Rattus norvegicus: one gene and its partners. The protein of the gene in region 3 purifies or fractionates together with the protein of the main gene of each other region. This does not show direct contact. Links are inferred from orthologs where the notes say so. Each region holds a gene or a part of one and is shown on either strand. Other genes may lie near its edges.

What was found.
Region 1: the proteins of Bet1 (region 3) and Gosr2 purify together in Homo sapiens (affinity purification with mass spectrometry; 3 studies listed by BioGRID and IntAct, with this or other methods). This does not show direct contact. The link is inferred for Rattus norvegicus from reciprocal best matches to the Homo sapiens genes BET1 and GOSR2.
Region 2: the proteins of Bet1 (region 3) and Napa purify together in Homo sapiens (affinity purification with mass spectrometry; 5 studies listed by BioGRID and IntAct, with this or other methods). This does not show direct contact. The link is inferred for Rattus norvegicus from reciprocal best matches to the Homo sapiens genes BET1 and NAPA.
Region 4: the proteins of Bet1 (region 3) and Gosr1 purify together in Homo sapiens (affinity purification with mass spectrometry; 3 studies listed by BioGRID and IntAct, with this or other methods). This does not show direct contact. The link is inferred for Rattus norvegicus from reciprocal best matches to the Homo sapiens genes BET1 and GOSR1.

The regions. Positions count from the first base shown.
Region 1 is NC_086028.1:89,095,633-89,099,132, reverse strand, and holds part of Gosr2 (Golgi SNAP receptor complex member 2), read left to right. Parts: intron 1-1,500; coding exon 1,501-1,565; intron 1,566-3,053; coding exon 3,054-3,162; intron 3,163-3,500. UniProt on the Homo sapiens protein: Involved in transport of proteins from the cis/medial-Golgi to the trans-Golgi network.
Region 2 is NC_086019.1:85,928,935-85,932,434, forward strand, and holds part of Napa (alpha-soluble NSF attachment protein), read left to right. Parts: intron 1-468; coding exon 469-515; intron 516-964; coding exon of another isoform or gene 965-987; coding exon 988-1,065; intron 1,066-1,225; coding exon 1,226-1,281; intron 1,282-1,355; coding exon 1,356-1,440; intron 1,441-2,078; coding exon 2,079-2,183; intron 2,184-3,141; coding exon 3,142-3,210; intron 3,211-3,500. UniProt on the Homo sapiens protein: Required for vesicular transport between the endoplasmic reticulum and the Golgi apparatus. Together with GNA12 promotes CDH5 localization to plasma membrane.
Region 3 is NC_086022.1:33,078,363-33,082,642, reverse strand, and holds the start of Bet1 (BET1 homolog), read left to right. Parts: upstream 1-1,480; 5' UTR 1,481-1,561; coding exon 1,562-1,580; intron 1,581-4,280. UniProt on the Homo sapiens protein: Required for vesicular transport from the ER to the Golgi complex. Functions as a SNARE involved in the docking process of ER-derived vesicles with the cis-Golgi membrane.
Region 4 is NC_086028.1:62,091,816-62,095,315, forward strand, and holds part of Gosr1 (Golgi SNAP receptor complex member 1), read right to left. Parts: intron 2,994-3,500; coding exon 2,902-2,993; intron 461-2,901; coding exon 386-460; intron 380-385; exon of another isoform or gene 1-379. UniProt on the Homo sapiens protein: Involved in transport from the ER to the Golgi apparatus as well as in intra-Golgi transport. It belongs to a super-family of proteins called t-SNAREs or soluble NSF (N-ethylmaleimide-sensitive factor) attachment protein receptor.

The sequences.
Region 1 (3,500 bases), on a different chromosome or scaffold from region 3:
CACAAAGAGCCTTTTTTTTTTTTTTTTTTTTTTTTGGTTGGGAGGATTCCATGAAGTGTGTTCTCTATTCAGATGATAAATTGAACTGTCAGAATTTATTTAAATTAATTTTTTCCCCATTGACTTATGTCTCCAGTCTCCAAGTATGTGACTGCTTCTGGGCCCTGGTCTTTGCTCTTGGGTCCAGGGTAAGATTGTCTATATCCTTGTACTGCTGTCATATGGTTATTTATTATGGCTTTGTAGTTGGTACTGAGCGCTATATATAGTGTGCACAGTAGAGAAAGATTGTTGAGCTTTCCCTTAAGGGCTGGAGATAGGCCTTCTTCAGACAGGTCCTATGTAGAAAGCCTTTCTTTTATAAGCACAGGAGGCCATTGGGGCTAACATAGACAACATTCCAAGGACTGTCAAGTGATGGGGAACCACTAGGAAGGGTTTGGAAGGTGGTGACTTTGGCCTGGAACTTCTCCAGGCCTAATGTCTGGGACATGTTGCATTTCTAGATGAGATGGCAGTCCTCCTCCTGTTGTCAGGGAAAGATGTTTACAAAACAGGAGATACCTATCTCTCAGGGCCATTCCCTTAAGTGTTCCTTCCACTGCCTGGTCCCCTCTGTTCTTTCTCTCTCTGACTGTTTTTCAAGCACTCCATTTTGCTTTTGCCCCATGTGAAATGCCTTGCATGCCCTTCTGCAGATCATCATCTTGCAACCTGTCTTCACTAAACCTCATTTTACCTTCTTAAAAGTGATGCTCAGATCTGCATTCAAGCCTACGTGCTTGTGTGCACGCCTGTAATCCTAGCACTGTGTAGGCGAAGGCAGGAGGATCACAAGTTCAAGGCAAGCCTGGGCTGTGTAAATGAGAAAACTCAGCAACCACAACTCCTTCCAGCTACGAAACCCCAGTTTACACTTTGTTAACCCAGCCTTCCCGCCTCCTTGGCTGCACTGTACACAACTCCCTCAACTTTGTTTCCGCCTGTGTGTGTTGGGGTTTCTTAAATCTTCTCAGGGGTTTCTCATGTCTGTTCAGCCTGTCAGTTCCTAATTATGTTGTTTCTCAGGGGCGAGGATTATATCTTCCTTGCCCTTTGGCTCTTGGTAGGCAGACCAGTGCTCAGCACATTAGGTCGCAGAACAGAGAGTGGGATTGGCTGGATACTGGTTGAGGTTTATCGCCTGCTGTGTGGCCTTGAGCAACTTACTTGACCTTTCTGGTTTCAGTTTTTATTTATAAACTGAGAGCAGTGATGATGCTTTCCTCTGGGGTTACTGACTTAGCAGTGTCTCAGATACAGTAAGCTCTCTCTAAATGCTATCAGCGTTGTTCTTAGCATGAGGTTTGAAATGAAGCCTGAAGTGCCACATACAGATTTTACAGTTGAGTAGCACCGTCACCTTAAATCAGCTGTAAGGCAGCATTAAGAGAAGTTGTCTTTCCTGACCGAGGTGCTGGTGACCACCCCTGTCTCACTCATTTCCTCTTCCTTTGATAGGCAGGTCCACGAGATCCAGTCTCACATGGGACGCCTGGAGACGGCAGACAAGCAGTCTGTGCACTGTGAGTAATTAACCAGGGAGAGCAGAGTCCTTTCCCTGATGGCATGGGGCTAATGGGCTGGGTTTCCTGACTGCATTCTGCCTTAGGGGCTTAATGACTCAGCATGGAATGAGTTGTTGTTAGAATGGACAGAAAAACCCTATGGCCAATAGATTTCCCCGATTGTGCCCCTTGGAGTCCCACCAGTTTTATCCCCCATTACCCTTCCACTCAACCTGACGGCCCTATGGGAATGGAAGTTCTCCTTCCATCTGTCTTAATCTAATTACCTAGTCTGAAAATTCAGACATGTTGACCTGGAACTGGCCATCTCTTCCAAGCTGAGACTCTGGCTTCTTAGTAGGATTATTCAGACAGCTAGCAATATTAATTAGTTTAGTTCCCATACCACAGGTTTGTGTGTGTGTGTGTGTGTGTGTGTGTGTGTGTGTGTAGCATGTGGGTTGTGGTTTGGAGTTTTTTGGTTTTGTTCCAAGCAAAGGCCCCTTACTGAGCCAGCCCTATAGACCTCCCTTGGAAGCTCTTGTCACCCTACAGCCCAGCTCTGGCCAGGCCTCTTCTGTTTCCTGTTTCCTCTTTTTCCCTGGCTCCCCAGGGTGGTCCTTCCCTTGACTCTGCACCCTATAGTGCCCTAATCTAAATTGTCTGTGTTTGCTGCAGGTGCGAAGACCTAGCAAGAGGGTGGTACTGGGGTTGTCATTTCTCCTGGGTGCGGCAGCCGCCTGGGTGCGTGCTCTGTGCACTTTAGTTTCTGCCTACTGGCCTTTGTTTGCCTTTCCAGCAATCTCACTGTCGCCTGATTAGAAGTGGAAAGAGGTCATTTTGACAGCTTTATCAAAGGGGATAAGGAAAATGACTATCATATTTTCTACCTCTGCCTGTGCTTTCCTGGGTCTTTCCGATTGATATGTGGTCTATTTTGAGGGCCCTAACACATCTCAGCCTACCATTCTTTCAGAAAGCCTCTGGGTATTTCTATACTGGTCTTCCCTTTCCTTTATACCTTTTATTGCTCTTTTAGCCTTATTACTATAAGGAATTCAGTTGGCAACACTTCTCCTAGCGGTTTATAGTCCATATCTGAGACCAGTCTCAAATAGACCTACATCAGAAAATTTAACTTAACAGAGTTTTATGGGCAACCATTAAATATTCATTTTATTTTCTAATGAATATAATAATATTTGTGTACATTGTGCTCCTTTGGGAATACATATGCTTTAGTTTGTGTTATAGCTTATCATTTTTACTTTGTTGTTTTGGGGTTTTTTGTTTGTTTTTGTTTTGTTTGTGACTGTGGCCCTGGCTGTCCTGGAACTTGCTCTGTAGACCAGGCTGGCCTAGAACTCAGAGATCTACCTGCCTCTGCCTCCCAAGTGCTGGGTTAAAGGTGTATGCCAACATGGCCTGGCACGATCCATCACTCTTAATTTACGTTATTATCTTTTTTCTAGCAGTTATTCTTTCTCTCCCCTCTCTTTTGTGCAGTAGTGGAAAATGAAATCCAAGCAAGCATAGACCAGATATTCAGCCACCTGGAGCGTCTGGAGATTCTGTCAAGCAAGGAGCCCCCCAATAGAAGGCAGAACGCCAAACTGTGAGTGTTGGTCCCTGACAGGCTTGGCTACCACGGGCCCCTAAGGCAGGCCTTTCTCCCATTGGAAGTTTTAGAATATTCTGAAAAATCTGGGTACATGCTAAAGAAATGAAGTCTGTGCGAAGAGAAAGTCTCCCTAAAATACACAGTTCTGTGTAAACAATAGACCCCCAAGTTAACCTGTGATCGTGGCCCCTTGTTTCATTGAGGTGATTATAACCCACTGTCCTTTGAGGTAATTTTGAAAATGTGCGTTTTCTGACCAGATCCCTGGTCACTGGAAGCTTAGTGCTGCTGAGGAGTTTGGCTCTGCTGTTTGGTTCCCACTGGCGTCTGTT
Region 2 (3,500 bases), on a different chromosome or scaffold from region 3:
GGGCCCAGTGCTCATTGCATCCAGCCTTCTCTGCAGGAGAGGCCAGTCAGGCTAAACTCAAGGATAGGACTCACTCAGGACAGTCTTCAAGGTCAGACACTGAGCCCTATAGCCTCTGCCCCAGCTAGCAGTTTGCCCTTTGATGGCAGGGCTGTGATAGTCTGATTCAAACTCTATAGGAGTCTGACTGTGCCACTGTGCCCTGATCTGCTTGCAAGCTGGAAGTGTGGCTGCCTAAGGGAGCTGGCCTCCCTGGGAAGAAGTGCCCAGCATGTCTCTGTATGCAGAAATACTCAGTCCAACTAGGTTGCCTGGGGTCTAGGGCTCCCACCCTTCCGGTTGCTCGAGATCCTAAGAGCCCTGAAGCCAAGGCAACCATGTGCCCGTCATCTCCCTGAGGGAGTATAGTCTGCCTCCTGTCCTCAGGACCTGCTATAATGACCTCTCCATCTTCTCTTTCCTCCCCAGAGGCCATTAACTGTCTGATGAGAGCAATTGAGATCTATACAGACATGGTAAGGGTTGCTTGCTGATCCTGCCTTGCTCTGTCCCATCCTGTCTATACTGTGCTTTAGGGGTCAGGGATTTGATCGCTGAGCTGAGTGACAGAATGGGGTGTCTGCTGCGGCACACACCCGTCTCATGCTGCCTCTGTCCCCTTCATGATCCCCTGTGGGGGCAGTGCCTATGCAGGTGCTTCCCTTGCCCGGCACTCCCCTGGTGTCTGTAGGAGCCTGAGAAATGCTCAGCCTCACCCTCTAGTAAGGTACTGTCCTGAGAGCTAGCCGCTAGGGAGAAGGCCACACTAGGCCACTGCTCTTGTCAGCTCATTGCTGTTCATCCCTCCACAAGTCATCCCCCTGTCTGTGTGGTCAGACCCCTTACCGAGGTGGGAACCCAAGGAGGCTAAAGTGGATTGGGGTGAGAATTGCTGTGGAACACTTCTCTGGTCACATCTCTTTAGTGTGCTCTCCCCCTCATCCCCAGGGCAGATTCACAATCGCAGCCAAGCACCACATCTCCATTGCTGAGATCTATGAGACAGAACTGGTGGATGTAGAGAAGGTGAGCTGGTATCAGGCTGGCTGTGCCTGAGCCTCTGGTGTTCCCATTCCCACCCACCATGATGTCCCACCCTATGGTCTCGGAAGGCAGGGGAGGCTGTGTTGAGTCACTGCTCCACCCTGTCCACCATTTCATTTGTCCCATTCTCATGTCTCCCCAGGCCATTGCCCACTACGAGCAATCTGCAGACTACTACAAAGGAGAAGAGTCCAACAGGTAGCCCCTCCCCAGCCTCCCCTCCTGTCTTGAAGGGACTTGCTACTGTCCCTTCATGCCCCTCCTCCCCACAGCTCAGCCAACAAGTGTCTGCTGAAGGTGGCTGGCTACGCCGCACAGCTGGAGCAGTACCAGAAGGCTATCGACATCTATGAGCAGGTGGGCTTTGCCTGGCTGTCAGCTTCTGCCACCCACCTCTGCCTGCCCCACTCGGTCTGCACTCTCTCCCAGGCCACTCTCACCAAATGCTTCTTCCACCTACAACCTGTCCTAGGTGTGTCCTGCCCCTCCTCACAGGAGCTGTCCCCAGAGCTGGGTATCCTCTACAGAAAAAGTAGGGCACAAGGGAGAAGAATCAGCAGAGGAGGGACCCTGAACCATGGGAAGCACCAGGTGTCATGTGACACTGTGCTTGGGGGGGCCAGTGTGTGACCAGAAGAAAGGCAGGCAGCTGGCTGTGGGAGAAGGGCGGGCACTACTTCTCATGCTCCCACAACTGCCACCCCTCTGCCCACTAAATGCCAATTTCCTGTGTGTCTAGCAGTGGTGCCTCCTCCCCACTGATTGGGGAGAGGCCCACAGACACCTGCCTTCCCTTACTCCACCCACACCCTCATCATGTTCTGGTCATTCTGGCAACACTCTGTAACCTTGCTGAGCTGTCTCTGTTCACTTGTCATCCTGTGGTCCCCAGACCTCACAGCAGAGTATGGGCTTAGCTCCCAGCAGGCTTTAGGGCCACAGTGACCTTCACCCTTGAGTTTCCTGTCTAAGCTCATGGTGATATGTGGCTGTAGGTGGGGACCAGCGCCATGGACAGTCCCCTCCTCAAGTACAGCGCCAAAGACTACTTCTTCAAGGCGGCCCTTTGCCACTTCTGCATCGACATGCTGAACGCCAAGGTGAGCCACTGCCTTTCCATGCTGTCACTTTTTGTCAACAGGCCAAGATGTTTCTCAGTGTTAGAGGTCAGTTTATCCACTTGGCCCCTTACCCTTTGGTTAGGATGGAAAATAGTCTGGATGCTTTTCTGATTTCCCAGCTGATGGCTGGCCTGTCCCCTTTATGGCTACTATATATCCTGACTGTCCCATTCAGCTGTGGTGCAGAAGCTGCTGAGGCCCAGGCACAGATCCTGCCAGGACCTGGGACTCGAAAGTGGCATGACTTGACTTTTGGCTTTATGCCTGCCCACTGAATCTCTGTACTTCTGGGCAAGAGGTCAGGGATAGGGATAGCTATGGTTGGTAGAAGGGTCTGGAAACTGAGTGTTGGCTTTCAATCCTCTAGTAGCCCCACAAGGACTACGTGACGTCTGGCTGCCCCACAGTCTCCTTCCCAAGTACAGCTGGCAGCTCTGCATTTGGGGGAGGTAGAACAGTTTGCTGTTTTTACTTTCTGTGGTGGGCATGGAACCTGAGCCTCCTGTCTGCTATGCAAATGCTCTGCCACTGAGCCACATCCCAGCCCGCAGTGATGAATTAATTATAAGCACACAGTTGGGTTTTGTCAGAGCAGGCTGCACCCCCACCCAACTCACCTAGTATCCCCAGTAAGTTTTCCCACTGCCACTGACCTGCTCACGGCTCTCAGAAGGGCTCCACGTGTGAAAACTCAGCTATAGACCTGACAGGTGCAGTAGGCTCTTTTGCCTCCTTCCTCTCTCTGTACCTGGACAACTTGCCCCTTCCTACAGCCACCTCTACCAGCTGGACTCAGCTGCGCTGAGGAATGGCACCATCAGGCATGAGTCAGGGACCCTGGATGCCAGGGCATGGAGCACCAAAACAGAACTGCCAGCCAGTGCTTTTGGTGCCCGAGTCTCTCTCACCTTTTCTCCCCCTCTCTCCTGTTGCTCAGCTTGCTGTTCAGAAGTATGAGGAGCTGTTCCCTGCCTTCTCGGATTCCCGGGAATGCAAGCTGATGAAAGTGAGCACTGGATTGGGCTCGCCCTGAACTGGGTGTGGAGTGGGCAGGGATGCCTGGATCTGGGTCTCAGCTGGGGTGACCACCAGAATTGCTTAGAGGGGCTGTGTTTAATTTGGTTTTCTCATGCCGTTCTGTTCAGTTCTCTACCTGAAACAAGTACATACATGCAGGGACAGTGGAGAGCAATGGGCAGGGCCAGGAGCTTGGGGTTTCCCTTGCACATGCACCACAGTGTCCTGACTGGGGCAGAACCTGTCAGTGTGGGGTCCTCCTTGCAGTTATACCCCACA
Region 3 (4,280 bases):
AATATCAAGAGTTTGGTATGGCAAGAAGGATGGACAGTCACAGAAAAAGGAAGTCTATCGTTTCTCTCATTGAATTATATCTTCCCCAGATCCATCATCATTTAATCGCATTGCTTTTGGAGAATGGCGGCTTACTTTATCTTTATGAAGACTCTTTTAATGCTATTAAAGTTTATTTTCCCAGTTAATATATCACATTGTAAATCATTTCATGTGTATTTTACAGACACTGTCTTAAGGCAGAGACTTAAGCTGTAATTATAGTCAATGTTTAAGTTGGGAATTGACTTATATGATCAGTGTTTATAATGTATACTTTATAATAATAATAGTATAGTAGTTTCAGAAAGCTCTATTATAAATACCACATCACTGCCATACAGTAGCAACACAACTATATTAACATGGGCAGTAAATAACTATTGGCTTCAAAAAACATTATTTTTGTGTAACCTTGTAATGATCCTTTGATATTAACCACTATACTTCCACGCATCCTAACAAACTTTTAAGCCCATAATTGGACCCCATGCTCCACCCAAACAAGTATTAGGTATTTGTGTGTATTTGGGTTTTTTTCTGCCCATGTTCTTGGTTTTGTAAGTATCACTAGAACACTTAATTTTATCTACCCACTCCTCTTTGTCTATCTTTCCCTCTCCTGGCAGGATGAAGTCTGCAGGCCTGGGTAAGAAAGAGCTGAGGTTCGAAGTTTGGGGACCCTAGAACCTGCTGAGCCAGGAGTAGGGGCGTGGGAGGAAACTACTGGCCTTCTGTCAATGACTTTGGGGTTTGAAATACGCAAGTTATTTGCGTTATTTAAAAGGTCCCTAAGTAGGAGGGAGTGTTTAAAAGCTAAACATCACGGTTCTTTCCAGACATAGAGCAAATGCATTAAACGAGGAATGAGGAATGAGAGACTCCCCACTTCCCTACCAGATGTTCTACTGCGAAGATACAGATTTTTTTTTTCCCTTTCTATTCCACTGGGCAGGATCAGGAAGTAAGAGGATTGATCTTCCTTTAATGCTAAGAGGCTCAGACAGTATAGATGAGACTCTCGAACCAAGTTTGCACTGACTTACTCTCCTCGGACTTTGGGAGTGCAAGGGAAAATCAAGAAAGATGAGTCACCATCATCCAGGCCAGGGAGGAATAACTCTCCCCGGCTAAAGTTGGCACTAACATCATAAAGTCCCTTACTGGCAGCTCTGGAAGAGGTAAAGACCCAGACTCACAGGACTAGAGCCACAGCAGCAGCCTCTGCCCTTCCGGAAACCCCACCCGCTTCAGACTTGGTTCCTACCACGCCCCTCTTACCCTGTGCCCCAGAAGCCCGAAGACTACATTTCCCAGAATGCAACTAAAATCTCATTGCAGGGCGCCTATATGTGTCCGGGTGACGACATAAACCGGCGCGGTGTTTAGACTTTACTGATGTCGTGGCGCTCTGAGGCAAAAAGTTGTTTCTCTGAGGAGCCTTAGGACTGAAGCCGAGGTTGGGTGACCCTGGCCCTTTCCTACCCACTCTTCCTTGCCCTCCTTCCCCTCTCGTGGCAGGATGAGGCGTGCAGGCCTGGGTAAGAGCAGTGCTGAAGTTCGAAGTTTGGGGACCCGAGGACCTGCTGAACCGGGAGTAGGGGCGTGGGAGGAAAACTACCGGCCTTCTGTCAGTGACTTTGGAGTTCCAAAGCGAGTTGTTGGGTTCTTTGGAGAAGGTTCACATCATTTGTCCCAGTTACGAGCGGTTTCCTTAAGTTGAATTTAGACGAAAGTTTAAACCTATATGATACGTTGCACAGTGGTGAGTTGGTTAATAGTCTTAAGTTTTTCTTTCTCTATATGCTAGTTTTTGGGGAGTAGCCCTATTTCCCAAGCCTCGCCGTTTCCTTTGCTTTACTCATTCAGGATCTTACTACTACTACTACTACTACTACTACTACTACTACTACTACTACTATTACTACTACTACTACTACTACTACTATTACTACTACTACTACCATCACCTCCTCCTCCTCCTCCTCCTCCTCCTCCTCCTCCTCCTCCTCCTCCTCCTCCTCCTCCTCCTCCTCCTCCTCCTTCTCCTCCTCCTCCTCCTCCTCCTCTTTTTTAAAGAAGTGACATTTGGGGAGTGGGTATTAAGCTTTTAGCACAGCAATAACGATGTGTTAGTATGGTAACAGTGAGTTACAAAGGTTATGTGTCATTGCTAGCATTGCTAGAGTGCCTGTTGTGAAAGGTCTGGCGATTTACTTGGAACGTTTCTGAGCTAGACCTTGCCCTACTGCTAAGGCAATAGAAGATAGTTTTGATGACTTAACACTTGTTTTTGCCTTTATGGATCAGGGAAAGGAATAACCTAGTAATTACAGAAAGTAATTAGATTACTGTTTTCTGGTTCTGAAGTTCTTTCTCAATAATGTTTTAAAGAAGAAAGGGCAGAATACTTGAAAAAAGTGTATGAAATATTAAAAAGGATGTTGCCATTCTGTCATAAATTGGAATAATTAAAACAGTTTTAAAAAGTGTAATGTGTTTAAAGCCAGTAAATGGACACACACTTGAAATTAGGTAAGAAAAATAAATAAAGCCTCTTTTTCAACTCACAATTCACAGCTTGTTAGGATTTTTAATTTTATAAGAAGTTATACAATATTTATGACAGTGTGAAGACATAGTAGTATTTTTAGTAAGGTTGGTTGTAGGAATAGAATGAGCCACTGGAAAATAAGGGCAATGAAAGGTGTCAATAATATAGATATACAAGTTGCATGTGAAGGAATTTGTAAATTTAGCTGCACTCTTTGAAAGAAAGTAGTCCATCTCAACCTAACAAACTACTTTCAAACAAGATTAGTCACCTGTGCCTAAATTTTTCCATCACTAACAACATTAGACATTTATTGTGATATACCATGTGCTTCCCAAAGCTTCCAGTGTTACCAAGGGGAAGAAGACAAATTGCTTCTGAAGCAGATGACAAAATTATGATCCAAGGTGGTAACTTTTCATTCAGTACAAGTTAAGTTCAACAGATAGTGAATGCAGTAGCAATTTCATTATAAATGGCTCACTGTGTACCTCCTGAAGCCAGGGGAACTTGAAGGATGCCGGTGACAGTGACGATTGAGAGAAGTAAGTCCCAGGTGGGATGATTCAGAGTAGCCGTGAATGATGTGTACAAGAGATTGTAGTGAAGTCACCCTGAGTGAAGCTAGGACCCGGAGGCATTCCAGAGGTCTTGGTCTATTCAAGGAGTTTACACTTCGTCAGGCCAGTGACCTATTGGAATTTTGTTTGTGCATACTGTTTTTAATACATGCAAGTCACGGACTCGACAGTAGGTTTCTACCTCTGACTGAATGTGAGAATTACTCAGAAAGATGTTAAATTAGTTTTTCAATTAAATTAGAATCATCAGGCTTGAAATGCAGTGAGAAGAGGGGTAATTATTTGGTTAAGTATGTATCATTTAAATTGGTGTTAAATAATGAAGATTTTTAAAACTACCATAGTGTGTTGACCTGAATTTGAAATTTGAAAGAATGGTGAGTCTGATAGGCGTTCACATGTAAAACCTGCCACATTACACATGAGCTGTTAAATGAATCGACCTGATTATTGATAGAACCTGCTTCAAGGAAGCAGCACTTTTCAGAAATTACGTCAGCTGACGATGACCTTCAAGACTTGCCTTTCAACAGTTCTTTATAGTAGTAATTAATTCTCACTGAAAACTTAGGTCTCATTCATACTCAGGAATGGTAACTGTAGTATTTTATTTTAGCTTAGTTTGTTTCATTTTTCTGTTTGTGGGTGGAAGATGGTGCGAAGAAAGATCAAATTTGCAACTGCATTAAAAATTTCTGGATCAAAATTTAGTCACAGGGTTGGGGATTTAGCTCAGCGGTAGAGCGCTTGCCTAGCAAGCGCAAGGCTCTGGGTTCGGTCCCCAGCTCCGGAAAAAAAAGAAAATTAAAAAAAAATTTAGTCACTTTAATTAAAATGATTTAATCTCTGGACCTAATGAGATAATCTGTTAAAGAACAAAGTGGAAGAACTCTGAAATTAAATTTAAGATAGGCCAGAGAGTCAAAACAAAAGAAATAAAACAAAATAGCCATTAATTTTGGACAAATTCATTGATGAAATTGTCCAGTGATTAACTTCATCCAGAATTACTTACTGGACAATATGTCATACCTGGATCCTTAGTCACATAAAACAAGTTAAAGATCTTAGTACACAGTATATTTTAAGTGTTGGTTTTAGTTGGT
Region 4 (3,500 bases), on a different chromosome or scaffold from region 3:
AAGCACACTTACACTTTACCCAGTCATTTTCTGCTGAAATCGTGCTTTTGTTGTTTTTGTTTGTTTCTTTAGCACTTGATAATTGGCCTTTTTACTCTTTATAAAGTTTCTTCAATGAGGTACGTGGTAAGAGACCATTCACATCATGGTATTACTACTGTGGATACCATTAATAACTTGCAGTATGCTGGTTAAAAGAGAAGACAGGCAAAGAGAGGAGGAAAATCCTCAAAGGGCAACATTTAATTATGGCTGATGAGCTGCCATCCATTTCAACTGAATCCACTCAGAGCAGGATGAATTCCAATCAGCAAAGCCCTTACTGTAATAAAATGTCTTTACAGGTAAACGAATCAGCAAACACAGGAAAGCAGGTAGTACTTACTTTCGAAGGTGGTCATGTTCTTTCAGAAACAGTTCAGTTCTCCTGTTGTTTACTCCAGACCCACTTTTATATGACCTAAAGCAATGTCAAGAAAAGGCGAGAGCAGTTTTAGTAGATGCTGCAACATCAGGTTAAGGCACGAAACCCTAATGACAACAGAGGAGAGTCCACAGTTCCAAGTAGGCAATCAGAATATGGTGCTCTCCACTTCCCTCAAGGATGAACGACTACCACAGATGTAAAGGGTGAGTTTGTTTCTCCAGCTTAGGTTTAGGGGTTCTCTGTTTTTCACCAAACTAACCCAGGCTTCTGAACAGGGGACCTTACTTTTCCTTTGTGTATTAACTTGGCGTCTTATTTTCTCCAGCAAAGGTAGAACTTCAGACTAGTTAGCACATGGCGCACAGGGCAAGAAGCTACTGAACCAATGTTATCCGTCACAGCAGCATGAGCCGCTCATGAGCGGGAAGCCTAAGGAACTCTGCAACTCAAATGTTCAGCCTGGCACACTTCAGGATCTCCATGTTCACTGTCAGCATATTACAATTACCAAAGGGGACCTGTACTTCTATCAACGATCTCATTCCCTGCTTTTCACTAGAAGTAAGTATTAAGAAGACTTTGTTTCCTTCTCTTTTTTTGGGAGACAGGGTTTCTCCATGTAACCCTGGCTGTCCTAGAATTCTCTATGTATACCGGGAATTTCAAATGTACCTGGAATCTCTATGTACCAAATTCACAGGAATCTGCCTGCTTCTGACTCCTGAGTGCTGAGGTTAAAGGCATGCGCCACCACAACTGGTCTTGAAGAACAATTTTTTTTTTAATTCCCAAACTGTACCAATGTCTATGAAAAGAGGGTCATGTTCTAAAACCCGAAGGCCTGGCTGAGGGACAGTGACAGCCTACAAGACCCAGGACAGACTAGCAAAGCAGCTGACATGACTCTCAAGTCTATGCACCGCCATTATGTAGCTGGATGATCTTAGAAAATCTCTCAGTAACTCCTTTTGTAAAATAAGACCTAATGAGAGCTGCCTCTTTCAAAAGAGTATCGTGGAACCAGAAAGGTAACCCACAGAAAAGGACTGTGTAAAATGCAAAAACAGTACAAAATATTCCAGCAAAGCCACCAGACAACCCTTGTTATGCAGGTATTAAGAGGCCTCGCTCACTAACAAGCTCCCCTCTGCAAACCCTTGTTACTCAGGTATACTAGGCCTCGCTCACTAACAAGCTCCTCTCTAGCACTTTGATGATGAACTCCTTCAAGGCTAAGCTGCCATTTTCACATAGACCTTTCACACAGAATGTCTTGTTCATAGTTGGTACTCAGACAATGGTTTAATGAATGAATGAATATATTTTTATCAACGATTCTTCAGAAACTAAAGGGTTATATCTAGTGGCTCCCACAAACTGTGGAAGAACTAAATGTATAGTTATTGAAGGCCGCCCCCTGTTGGTTCTGACCACAGTCTTCAAACTGTGTAAGGCAACTGTACAGACATTAAAGAAGGCGTATACATTCCTAACAACAAAACCATCACACTGTAGGTCAGGTGTGCTAGTGCACACTTTTCCTCCCAGCTCTTAGGAATCAGAGTTTGAGGCCAGTCTGCTCTACACAGCAGGTTTCAGGCCTGCTAATGCTATGTAGAGAGGCTCTCTGGGAACGTTTCTCAGAGCACATGTAACACATACCAGCTTGTGATGAATGTGTGTCCTAGTTGATATAACATAGGTATCATAAACTATCACAAACGAGACCATCAGTCATTAGATGGTCCAAAATGGGAAAACTGTCTAGGTATGGTGGAAGCCACCTACCATCTCTGCCTTTGGGAGCAGAGTCAGAAGGGCCATACCCTAAGCCAGCCTGACCTCAAGAAAACAAACAACAAACAAACAAAAGACAGTCTTCAGCATCAGTCAGATACTCTATAGGACTTCTACAGGGCAGTACAGGGCAGTGAAGCAACAGATGGAAAGACAGTCCAAATCTTAGGGAGTGAGACCACTATAAAATGCTGAAGGCCTTAGTCTCACAAGGCTTTGATTCTACATTAAACCTAGAAACTCCTGCTCCCATACAAACATAGTTCAGAATTTCAGGGAAGCTAATAGCTATCTGAACACGAGAGAGAGAGAGAGAGAGAGAGAGAGAGAGAGAGAGGGGGGGGGGGAGAGAAAGAAAGAGAGGGGGTGGGTAGGGAGAAGAGAGAAGAAAGAGAGAGAAATAGAACCCTATTATTGGCATTCATGCCATTCTTAGCATGGACGGAAGGGAATCACTCAAGCTGGACTTAGGAAAGTCAGGGTTGGCAGGGGCTCACAGGAAGCCTGGGAGATGGCAAAGTAGAGTCAGCCCAGACTTTAGCTTCAAAGGAAAATGAGATGGAAAATCAGAAACCCCAAAGTTTAAATCCTGGTTTTGCTACTCAATTTGCAATTAGCCACAGATACAGCCTAAATCCACATAAACATTGTATACAGTAACACAAAAGGTAACTTACTCAATATCTTTTCGTACTGATCCCATGAGATTCTCCCTTTCCCGTATTGCCATAAAGTTTGCTTTGGTTTTATGGAATTCATGTGTATAATCCTGAAATAAATCAACATCCAGTCTCAACACAAACTATTTATGTACTTTTATCCTTTTATCTGTTTATCAGGTTACACATTTCCAACACTAAGTGTCCTACCACCTAGTACCTTACCACACAGGACAGAGTTATAAGGAAAAAAACCTAAGGCAAAATGACTTCAAACAGCCTAGGGTAAAAGAAGGGAGAGATTTTCTACCCAATGGTGTACCTAATAAGGCTTAGAGCTTACTTTTTAAACCCTGTCTCCGACCCCATCTTTCCCTCACTGCTGAGGATCCAACCCATGGCCTTACAAATGCAAACCAAGTGCTCTACCACGGAGCTACACCCCCAGTTCATTTTTAAGAAAATTCTATTGTCTTCCATATTTGTATTACTTTTGTATATTAAGCAGTTGAGTCCTTTGTTGTAGTTTCTCGCATTAGATCTTCCTTAGCTCTTCAACGCTCAGAAATTTCTAAATTTCACTCATGATCAATTTGAAATGTTGACAGATTTTCTTT